Pelodiscus sinensis: one gene and its partners. The protein of the gene in region 2 purifies or fractionates together with the protein of the main gene of each other region. This does not show direct contact. Links are inferred from orthologs where the notes say so. Each region holds a gene or a part of one and is shown on either strand. Other genes may lie near its edges.

Region 1 (3,742 bases), on a different chromosome or scaffold from region 2:
CACAGCCCCGCCCCTCCTACAGCCAGGCCCCGCCTCCTTCAGCCCCCTGCCCCTCACAGCCCTGCCCCTCCTACAGCCAGGCCCCGCCTCCTTCAGCCCCCTACCCCTCACAGCCCCGCCCCTTCTGCAGCCAGGCCCCGCCTCCTTCAGCCCCCTACCCCTCACAGCCCCGCCCCTTCTGCAGCCAGGCCCCGCCTCCTTCAGCCCCCTACCCCTCACAGCCCCGCCCCTTCTGCAGCCAGGCCCCGCCTCCTTCGGCCCCCTGCCCCTCACAGCCCCGCCCCTCCTGCAGCCAGGCCCCGCCTCCTTCAGCCCCCTACCCCTCACAGCCCCGCCCCTCCTGCAGCCAGGCCCCGCCTCCTTCAGCCCCCTGCCCCTCACAGCCCCGCCCCTCCTGCAGCCAGGCCCCGCCTCCTTCAGCCCCCTGCCCCTCACAGCCCCGCCCCTCCTGCAGCCAGGCCCCGCCTCCTTCGGCCCCCTACCCCTCACAGCCCTGCCCCTTCTGCAGCCAGGCCCCGCCTCCTTCAGCCCCCCCCACAGCCCTGCCCCTCCTGCAGCCAGGCCCCGCCTCCTTCAGCCCCCTGCCCCTCACAGCCCTGCCCCTCCTGCAGCCAGGCCCCGCCTCCTTCAGCCCCCTGCCCCTCACAGCCCTGCCCCTCCTACAGCCAGGCCCCGCCTCCTTCAACCCCCTACCCCTCACAGCCCCGCCCCTCCTGCAGCCAGGCCCCGCCTCCTTCAGCCCCCTGCCCCTCACAGCCCTGCCCCTCCTGCAGCCAGGCCCCGCCTCCTTCAGCCCCCTGCCCCTCACAGCCCTGCCCCTCCTGCAGCCAGGCCCCGCCTCCTTCAGCCCCCTACCCCTCACAGCCCCGCCCCTCCTGCAGCCAGGCCCCGCCTCCTTCAGCCCCCTGCCCCTCACAGCCCCGCCCCTCCTGCAGCCAGGCCCCGCCTCCTTCAGCCCCCTGCCCCTCACAGCCCCGCCCCTCCTGCAGCCAGGCCCCGCCTCCTTCAACCCCCTACCCCTCACAGCCCCGCCCCTCCTGCAGCCAGGCCCCGCCTCCTTCAGCCCCCTGCCCCTCACAGCCCCGCCCCTCCTGCAGCCAGGCCCCGCCTCCTTCAGCCCCCTGCCCCTCACAGCCCCGCCCCTCCTGCAGCCAGGCCCCGCCTCCTTCGGCCCCCTACCCCTCACAGCCCTGCCCCTTCTGCAGCCAGGCCCCGCCTCCTTCAGCCCCCCCCACAGCCCTGCCCCTCCTGCAGCCAGGCCCCGCCTCCTTCAGCCCCCTGCCCCTCACAGCCCTGCCCCTCCTGCAGCCAGGCCCCGCCTCCTTCAGCCCCCTGCCCCTCACAGCCCCGCCCCTCCTGCAGCCAGGCCCCGCCTCCTTCAGCCCCCTGCCCCCCACAGCCCTGCCCCTCCTACAGCCAGGCCCCGCCTCCTTCAACCCCCTACCCCTCACAGCCCCGCCCCTCCTGCAGCCAGGCCCCGCCTCCTTCAGCCCCCTGCCCCTCACAGCCCCGCCCCTCCTGCAGCCAGGCCCCGCCTCCTTCAGCCCCCTGCCCCTCACAGCCCCGCCCCTTCTGCAGCCAGGCCCCGCCTCCTTCAACCCCCTGCCCCTCACAGCCCTGCCCCTCCTGCAGCCAGGCCCCGCCTCCTTCAGCCCCCTGCCCCTCACAGCCCCGCCCCTTCTGCAGCCAGGCCCCGCCTCCTTCAACCCCCTGCCCCTCACAGCCCTGCCCCTCCTGCAGCCAGGCCCCGCCTCCTTCAGCCCCCTGCCCCTCACAGCCCCGCCCCTCCTGCAGCCAGGCCCCGCCTCCTTCAGCCCCCTGCCCCTCACAGCCCCGCCCCTCCTGCAGCCAGGCCCCGCCTCCTTCAACCCCCTACCCCTCACAGCCCCGCCCCTCCTGCAGCCAGGCCCCGCCTCCTTCAGCCCCCTGCCCCTCACAGCCCCGCCCCTCCTGCAGCCAGGCCCCGCCTCCTTCAGCCCCCTGCCCCTCACAGCCCTGCCCCTCCTGCAGCCAGGCCCCGCCTCCTTCAGCCCCCCCCCCACGTAGTCCCCCGTCCCCGGCAGCGCCTCCCCCTCCAGCCACCTGCAGCGATCCCCTCCCCCACGCGGGGCGGGGCGGGGCCACGCGCCAGGGACCCGCAGGGCTCGCGCCGCGGCCGTTACCGTCGCTACGCGGTGGCGGCCCCGCTCGCTGCCCTGGGCGGTGCCTGCCTCAGGAAAGCCCCCGCCGGCCCTGCCGTAGCTGCCCTCGCCGGTGCCTGAAGGCAGCCCGCCCCGCGCCGCGCCTGGGCTGGGCGAGCCAATCAGGCAGCGCCGCGGGCAGCCCTGGGGGGTGCGAAGGCCCCGCGCCTCAAGGACCCGCCCCGCCGCCGCTTCGACCTCCCCGAGCAAGATGGCGGCCGCGGTGCGCGCGATCGGGAGCCTCACGCGCTTCACGGCCGCCGCCAAGTACTGCGCGGCCCGCCGCCTCGGTGAGGGGCTGGGCCGGGGGGGGGGGCGCGCTGCCGAGCCCCGCCCCGCCCCGGCTCGCCGTGCTGCGCTCCCCGCCGAGTGCCTGTCTGGGGCCGCCGGCCGGGCGGGGCTGGCAGCAGGAGCCCGGGGAGCTCAGCGCGGGGCCTGGCCACACGCAGCAGCCCGGCCCGCCAGCAGTCGGGTCACAGGGGTTCTGGCTCTGCCGCGGCCCTGGCTCCCGGCTCCCGGACCCCGGCCCCCCCGGCCCCCCCGGCTCCCGGCCCCCCCGGCTCCCCCGGCTCCCGGCCCCCCCGGCTCCCGGCCACCCTGGCCCCCCCGGCCCCCAGCATCCCCGGCCGCCCCGGCCCCCCCGGCTCCCGGCCCCCCCGGCCACCCCGGCCCCCCCGGCCCCCGGCCACCCTGGCTCCCGGCCGCCCCGGCCACCCTGGCCCCCAGCCACCCTGGCTCCCGGCACACGCCTGCTGCGGCAACAAGCTCTCCCCAGGCGGCTATCCCACCTCCCCCAAACCCCTGGCCTGGGGCTCTCAGGTTGTGCTGCTGCTCCCTGTTCATTTCCCGGGGCGGGTGATGAATGTTAGTGACTAGCGGAGATCATTTGCAGTTAATGGATTTGATGCGGGAAGGTGGCTGTGGCAGTGTGCTCGTAGAGCTCTCCCAGTGCTCTAGATGAACAGCCTCTATGCTTGGGGCATAGTTCCCAGTGCTGGGAGCCTGTTTACACCCACACTTCACAGCGCTGTAACTTGCTGTGCTCGGGAGATGCTTTGTCACACCCCTGAACAAGAAAGTTACAGCTCAGTGACCTGACAGCCTGGTAGCACAGCAGTATAGACAAGCCGTTAGTCTGACTGCTTTCAGTCAAGTCACAGGAATGATTTGACATCTGATCAGAGTTTGTTGGTTTGTGGAATTAAGTGGGCTCTTAATTCAGTGACCCAGTCCTTCTCCTGCAGTTGTCATTCGTCTGGTCCTTTCTTTTTCTGCTCAGCAGAGGTGCCCCAGGCACTGAGCTCCCCATATTCCTGCGGTGAGGGTTTCCTTCTGCGAATGCACAGCTAGAGAGCTGGGTTCTCCTCTGAATTTACACTTGTAACTGTCAGAATGATACACGATTGTACACACCATGGTAAGAACATAAGAATGGCTGTACTGGGTCAGACCAAAGGTCCATCTAGCCCACTAGCCTGGTGTCTGTAGTTCCTTGTTTTCAGGATTCGCACTAGGGATATAATAGTGCAGTTGATTAACTGATTATCTGATAAGCAAAAGCT
Region 2 (3,742 bases):
GCCTTGCTTCTCTTTTGAGAGCCTCTTTACCACCACAAAACTAAAGATTACCTTTGATGTAAATACGAAAAATGCCATCCTTCACATATGGCAGAGCCATCTTGAATTCTTCTTCACCGGAAAAGGCAATCATGTCGCCATCTTCATCTGAAGAAGACAGATTAATAAATTGGATATAAGTGACAATCAGGAAGAGATGAAAGTAAGTCTTTATGAAAACAAAGTGAAATATGTAGTTTGTCTTAAGTATTTTGCAAATAATAGAGACTAACAATCAAGCAACACCTTACTGCTTTGATATTAGAACTGTTGGGGAGAGGGGTAGCTCAGTGGTTTGAGCATTGGCTTGCTAAAACCCAGGGTTGTAAATTCAATCCTTGAGGGAGCCATTTAGGGATCTGGGGCAAATCTGTCAGGGATGGTACCTGCCATGAGGGCAGAGGACTGGACTGGATGTCCCTTCCAGTTTTGAGAGAGAAATAAAAGGGTTGATTAACTATCCTCATTTCAAAATGGCACTTAGTTTTACTCTCCTCTTTTGCTTAGAGTTCTATAACAACAAATAACTTAGATGGGAAAGAAATCTAACCTACTTGAGAGTTGTATGCAGTGTTGTTTTAGTCCTATCAACCCCAGATTATCAGCATAAAAACTCTCTCCCACCTTGCCCCTCTACTTAAGTAGTTTCTTCCCTACCAAACTATCTTCTGCTTACAAACCACCACATTTGCAGAGAGGTATAGTTTTAAAGACACAAGCCACTTCAGCAATAGTTACAGAATGGAGTGTATGTTTAAATAATTTTACTATGTCTGCAGTACTATGGAGAAGCTATGCTGCAGAGCTATATGTGTTCTTGTTAAAAACTGGCAGTAGTGAGAACAGAGAAAAATCTGACAAGGAAGCAATTTTCCAATAAACTAGAGTTAAATATCACCCGCAGAAAAACAGTCACGTTGGAGTGTATGATCTTTAAGAACTAAATATTTGGCATTGAAATATCTTGGTCTTTGAACAGAATAGAGTTACTGCATGAATGATAATTTAAAGGGGAGAAATGTGAAAGTCTCCTCAATGAGCTAGTCTAGAAACTAATAATACGAATAAAGTATGAGATGATACTGTATAACACTGAACTTCAATTTATGTTAATGAAGGGGTTGGCAGGAAGTAGCAAGAACTTTTCTTTCTGTAATTTGAGCTAAAATTTGAGCTAAAATGAGGCTCACTGTATGTGCTTTCTTTCCAAGGCTGGTCTTCACCCCCAGTGCTGCAGCAGTGCAGCTATGCCATTGTAGCATTTGGTGAAAACACTACTATATTCCCATGGGGTAGTGAATACACCTCCGTGGGAAATGATTGCTATGGCAACAGTCCACAATGTGTTGTGTACAGGGAAGGGATGGAGTGTTAATACTGCCATTAAGCCGACCTCTGGGATGGAAAATCCAGGGGCCTGAGCGAAGCAGTTATACCCACATGTGTGTGTAGTGCTGTAGACCAAGCCGTAGGCATTTACAGAGGTACAGAAAAGAGAAGCCCTGGAGGCAAAAGGGCAGCCTAGCGCATTGTTCCCAGAGCTAGTCTGCTGTCCTCTCTGCATCTTGGGGTCCTTAGACCATTTCAGGACTTCAATATACAGGGCTATGTAGCCCTTTAGAGACTAACAAGATGGCTTATTAGATGACGAGCTTTCGTGGGCCAGACCCACTTCCTCAGACCAATATGTGAGCGAGAGGGGAGAGGCCTATTCCAGGAGAGGGTGGGTGCGATTCTGCGGCCTGCATTGGGCAGGGGGTGGGACTAGATGATCATAATGGTCCCTTCGAGTCTAGGAGTCTTGTCCCCCCCCGGAGCAGCCGGGTGTGGGGCAGGCATCAGGCCGCGATTCTGCCCAGCCCGCAGCATGCACCGGGGCGGTCTCCCTACGGGCTCGCACAGCTCAGGGGCGGAAAAGAGCCGCGGATCGAGCCTGGCCACAGCCGGGCCCGCGGCGCTCACCCTTGTAGTGCAGCAGGAAGGCGCCGTCGCGCAGCGGCGCGGGGAAGATCTCGCCGACCTTGTCGCGCACGTCCTGGTAGCGGGCGGGCGGCGGGAGCGCGAAGCGGCGGATCTCGCGGACCACCCCCTCCTTGCCCAGCAGAAAGGCCTTCACCGTCAGCGCGGCCATGGCGGGCGGGCGGGCTGTGGCGCAGCAGCAATGGGCGGCGGCGGGCGGCTGGGGCTGGGCAGAGCGCGGCGCGGGCCTGAGCTCCCTCCGCCCGGCCGCTCCCCTTATACCGCGGGAGGCCGGGCCTGCGCCGGGAAAGTCCCCGCCCCTGGGCGCCCCGCTAGGGGGAAGGCAGGGCGGGGCGCGGCTCAGGCACCTTCTCAGCGCCCGGGCGCGGGGGGGCTAGATTCGGGGCGGGGTCTGGAGGCTGAGGAGGCGGGGGGGCGGGGCGGTTTAGAATGGGGGGAGCCGGTTTAGAGTAGGGGAGCGGGGGGGGGGCGGTTTAGAGTAGGGGAGCGGGGGGGGGCGGTTTAGAGTAGGGGAGCGGGGGGGGCGGTTTAGAATGGGGGGAGCCGGTTTAGAGTAGGGGAGCGGGGGGGGCGGTGTAGAATGGGGGGAGCCAGTTTAGAGGAGGGAGGCGGGGGGGGGCGGTTTAGAATGGGGGGAGCCGGTTTAGAGTAGGGGAGCGGGGGGGGCGGTTTAGAGTAGGGGAGCGGGGGGGCGGTTTAGAGTAGGGGAGTGGGGGGGGCGGTTTAGAATGGGGGGAGCCGGTTTAGAGTAGGGGAGCGGGGGGGGGGGCGGTTTAGAGTAGGGGAGCGGGGGGGGCGGTTTAGAGTAGGGGAGTGGGGGGGGCGGTTTAGAATGGGGGGAGCCGGTTTAGAGTAGGGGAGCGGGGGGGGGGGCGGTTTAGAATGGGGGGAGCCAGTTTAGAGGAGGGAGGCGGGGGGGGCGGTTTAGAATGGGGGGAGCCGGTTTAGAGTAGGGGAGCGGGGGGGGGCGGTTTAGAATGGGGGGAGCCGGTTTAGAGTAGGGGAGTGGGGGGGGGCGGTTTAGAATGGGGGGAGCCGGTTTAGAGTAGGGGAGCGGGGGGGGCGGTTTAGAATGGGGGGAGCCGGTTTAGAGTAGGGGAGCGGGGGGGGCGGTTTAGAATGGGGGGAGCCAGTTTAGAGGAGGGAGGCGGGGGGGGGCGGTTTAGAATGGGGGGAGCCGGTTTAGAGTAGGGGAGCGGGGGGGGCGGTTTAGAGTAGGGGAGCGGGGGGGCGGTTTAGAGTAGGGGAGTGGGGGGGGCGGTTTAGAATGGGGGGAGCCGGTTTAGAGTAGGGGAGCGGGGGGGGGGCGGTTTAGAGTAGGGGAGCGGGGGGGGCGGTTTAGAGTAGGGGAGTGGGGGGGGCGGTTTAGAATGGGGGGAGCCGGTTTAGAGTAGGGGAGCGGGGGGGGGGGCGGTTTAGAATGGGGGGAGCCAGTTTAGAGGAGGGAGGCGGGGGGGGCGGTTTAGAATGGGGGGAGCCGGTTTAGAGTAGGGGAGCGGGGGGGGCGGTTTAGAATGGGGGGAGCCGGTTTAGAGTAGGGGAGTGGGGGGGGGCGGTTTAGAATGGGGGGAGCCGGTTTAGAGTAGGGGAGCGGGGGGGGCGGTTTAGAGTAGGGGAGTGGGGGGGCGGTTTAGAGTAGGGGAGTGGGGGGGGGCGGTTTAGAATGGGGGGAGCCGGTTTAGAGTAGGGGAGCGGGGGGGGCGGTTTAGAATGGGGGGAGCCA
Region 3 (3,742 bases), on a different chromosome or scaffold from region 2:
AGAACGAGCACTTTGGCTCAATCAAAACGAGACAGAGATTGATTGTCACGGGCTCAAAAAACCTGTCACATCAAACCCAGGAAACAAATACGAGTGGCGGCCTATCTCCGACCTCCCAGCCACTAGAGCCTCACATTTTAGCAGTTACACGACTATTCGACAGTGTGGGGGCGGGGCTAGCAGCCAGTGCCCCCAGCCCCATTCCTGGGGAGCTCCCTGTATCAGAGGCAGCAGTGGTCAGTTTCATGGTGAGTTTCAGCACTGGTCAGTTTGATGGTCACTGTCAGCACTGGTCAGTTTCAGCACTGGTCAGCACTGGTCAGTTTCAGCACTGGTCACCCCTGGTCAGTTTCAGCACTGGTCAGTTTCAGCACTAGTCAGCACCGGTCAGTTTGATGGTCAAGTTTTAGTACTAGTCAGTTTCAGCACTGGTCAGTTTCAGCACTAGTCAGCACTGATCAGTTTGATGGTCAGTTTTAGCACTAGTCAGTTTCAGCACTGGTCAGCCTGGTCAGTTTCAGCACTGGTCACCCCTGGTCAGCACTGGTCAGTTTGATGGTCAGTTTCAGCACTGGTCAGTTTCAGCACTGGTCACCCCTGGTCAGCACTGGTCAGCACTGGTCAGTTTCAGCACTGGTCAGTGTCAGCACTGGTCAGCCTGGTCAGTTTCAGTACTTGTCAACACTAATCAGCACTGGTCAGTTTCAGCACTGGTCAGTTTCAGCACTGGTCAGTTTGATGGTCAGTTTCAGCACTAGTCAGTTTCAGCACTGGTCAGTTTGATGGTCAGTTTCAGCACTGGTCAGTTTCAGTGTTCATGGCTTGCCCTCTGCCTCTGAGCCAGGCTGCAGGCTCAGGAAGACGGTGCTGCCTCCGGACATCTTTGGAAAGTCCGAAGGGCCAGAAACTCCCCAGAGAAGGCGGGGGAGGGGAGGGGGGAGGGAGGGGAACTGAGGCAGACACAGATCCCTCCTGCCCCCTCTGTGCCTCCCAGGGAGGTCAGCAGAGATGCCACATCCACCGTCTGAGCCTCGCAAGACCTTTGCCCAGCTTGGAAGTCTCTAGTAAGCCATTAACCAGGGAGAGAAAGGTAAACAACCCTTCCTCCTGCCACATGCCGCCTGAACATGTCACCCCCCCCCCCCCGTTGGGCTTTGGCCCCCTCCATCGCTCTTCCACACGCCCACCCCACTTATCCAGGGCAACCGAGAGAGCCCACAGGGTGCGGGGGGGGGGGGAGATGGTGTGAGTCATGATGGGGGGAGGTGACCAAAGATCACAGCCGTGGAGGGGAGAGACCACAGAATGGGGGGGGGACCAAAAGTCATGGGATGGAGGGGAGAGTCCATCGGTTGGGGGGGGGAACCAAAGGTCATAGGGATGGAGGGGAGAGACCATCGGTTGGGGGGGGAACCAAAGGTCACAGTGATGGAAGGGAGAGACCACAGAATGGGGGGAACCAAAGGTCATAGGGATGGAGGGGAGAGACCACAGAATGGGGGGAACCAAAGGTCACAGCGGTGGAGGGGAGAGACCACAGAATGGGGGGAACCAAAGGTCACAGGATGGAAGGGAGAGACCACAGAATGGGGGGAACCAAAGGTCACAGGATGGAAGGGAGAGACCACAGAATGGGGGGAACCAAAGGTCACAGCGGTGGAGGGGAGAGACCACAGAATGGGGGGAACCAAAGGTCACAGGATGGAAGGGAGAGACCACAGAATGGGGGGAACCAAAGGTCACAGCGGTGGAGGGGAGAGACCACAGGGTGCGGGGCGGGGATGGGGAGGGACAGGGACCACAGGGGGCAGAGTGAGGGGAGAAGGGCCCAGTGGTGCTGATGAGGGGAGAGGGGTGGCAGGCGGGAGCCGTGGGGAGGGTGAGGACAGGGAGCTGCAGGGGGCCCTACGGGGCGCCCCAGGCGATGGCGGTACGTGGGGCGGGTGGACGCTCCGTGGGGCAGAGGCCAAACCTAAGGGGAGCCCAGGGGCTAGGCAGGTGAGGTGATGGGCCCCAGGGAATAGGAGTACAAGGGACTAGAAGATGGAGACGCTGGGGGGCAGGAGACTGGGGCTGTGAGGTAGGGGGCGCTGGGGCTGGCCACGTTGGAAGACAGGGGGCTGGGGCTCTCGGTACACGGGTGCCAGGGATGGACATACTTGGGGGGCAGGGGACATGGGTATGGGGATGCCAGGGATGGACAAGTTGGGGGTACGGGGGCGCCGGGGAGGGCCACGTGCGGGGATGGGACGGGGATGTACACTGGGGACGGGATACTGGGGGACAAGGGACCGGGCTGCGGGGGCGCCGGGGAGGACCCGCGGGGGGCGCACGGCACCGTGGCCGGGGGGGGAAGGGGGTGCTAGCCCCGGGGCCGCGGGTCTCACCGGGCTCCGCTCCGGGCCACGCAGGGTCCCCGCAGCAGGCGCCGCAGCGCCGGGTTCCCGCACACCCGCGTCGCCATCTTCGCGCTGCGGAGCCGCAGCCGGGCGCTGCGCGGGGCGGGCCGGGGGGGCGGGTCCGGGCGGGGACTCCCCTCCCCCCGCGCCCCTTTGCTCCCCCTGCCCGAAGAAGGGGCGCGCGAGGGCGCGATCCCTGCGCGGGGGGCGCAATTCCGTGCGCACCGCGTGCCCAAAGCGCACACGCCTGGGGCCGCAGCTAAGCTTGGACGAGGCAGGGAAGCGTAAAATCTCCCCCTATTTCAGACCCGGGCTGCCCCAGCCTCCGAGCCCAGAGCCCCCGTCCCTCTGCAAGGAGGAACATCCCTTATAGGAGCAGCAGGGTGGGTCTCTTTGGGGGCCCATCTGTGCGCCCTCACGCCTGCCTGGACGCTCCTTGGGGTAGAGACCCAGTTCCATTCTTGGTCCTGTTGGTCTGCAGTCCTGAACTGGGACCTCTTGGTTAATCGCCTTGGCCATGGAGCAGGGCAGCTGAATTTTCGGTTGTGTCATTTCTAGTCTCCCCCCTCCCCGCGAAAACACAATCTATGTGCGGGGAGCACGGAGGAGTTGACCCTACCCATCTCCGGTCACTACATGTGTATACAATATTTGATCTGTATTTATAGTGTGGCTTTTAAAAAAATGGTGTAAGCCACCTCGAATATTTTAAATAATAGCGGCGGGGCAAAAATATTAAAAAGAAATCAGCGTAAATGAAACGAGCACAGAGATGGAAAGGGACGGGAATTCACCCGGCGCTGAAAAGCGTATCCTGGTTCTGCACTCAAATGCCCAGGAAGGTGTGGGGAGAAAAACGCTCTTGGTTAAACATCCAATGAAGACCTCCCCATTGAAAAAAGGCCTCAAATATCTTAAATAAGAAAGGCTGGGCAAAAATATTGAAAAGCTATTGCCATAAATGAAATGGGCGCAGAGATGGAAAGGGACGGGAATTCACCCTGTGCCGAAAAGCGTATCCTGGTTTTGCACTCAAATGCCCAGGAAGCAGCAGGGAGAAAAACACTCTTGGTTAAACATCTACGAATGACCTCCCCATTGAAAAAAGGCCTCGAATATTTTAAATGAGAGAGGCAGGGCAAAAATATTTCAAAGAAATCAGCATAAATTAAATGAGCGCAGAGATGGAAAGGGACGGGAATTCACACGGTGCTGAAAAGCGTATCCTGGTTTTGCACTCAAATGCCCAGGAAGCAGCGGGGAGAAAAGCGCTCTTGGTTAAACATCCAGCAATACTCCCCCCACCCATTGAAAAAAGGCCTTGAATATTTTAAATGAAAGAG

Evidence for each region.
Region 1: the proteins of SQSTM1 (region 2) and HADHB purify together in Homo sapiens (affinity purification with mass spectrometry; 3 studies listed by BioGRID and IntAct, with this or other methods). This does not show direct contact. The link is inferred for Pelodiscus sinensis from reciprocal best matches to the Homo sapiens genes SQSTM1 and HADHB.
Region 3: the proteins of SQSTM1 (region 2) and NIPSNAP1 purify together in Homo sapiens (affinity purification with mass spectrometry; 4 studies listed by BioGRID and IntAct, with this or other methods). This does not show direct contact. The link is inferred for Pelodiscus sinensis from reciprocal best matches to the Homo sapiens genes SQSTM1 and NIPSNAP1.

Annotation. Positions count from the first base shown.
Region 1 is NW_027465862.1:361,217-364,958, forward strand, and holds the start of HADHB (trifunctional enzyme subunit beta, mitochondrial), read right to left. Parts: upstream 2,290-3,742; 5' UTR 2,163-2,289; exon of another isoform or gene 2,083-2,162; intron 1-2,082. Other genes in the region: HADHA (trifunctional enzyme subunit alpha, mitochondrial), read left to right, coding at 2,392-2,470. UniProt on the Homo sapiens protein: Mitochondrial trifunctional enzyme catalyzes the last three of the four reactions of the mitochondrial beta-oxidation pathway.
Region 2 is NC_134727.1:34,417,734-34,421,475, reverse strand, and holds the start of SQSTM1 (sequestosome-1), read right to left. Parts: upstream 2,285-3,742; 5' UTR 2,171-2,284; coding exon 2,002-2,170; intron 148-2,001; coding exon 52-147; intron 1-51. UniProt on the Homo sapiens protein: Molecular adapter required for selective macroautophagy (aggrephagy) by acting as a bridge between polyubiquitinated proteins and autophagosomes.
Region 3 is NW_027465935.1:547,339-551,080, forward strand, and holds the start of NIPSNAP1 (protein NipSnap homolog 1), read right to left. Parts: upstream 2,524-3,742; 5' UTR 2,465-2,523; coding exon 2,388-2,464; intron 1-2,387.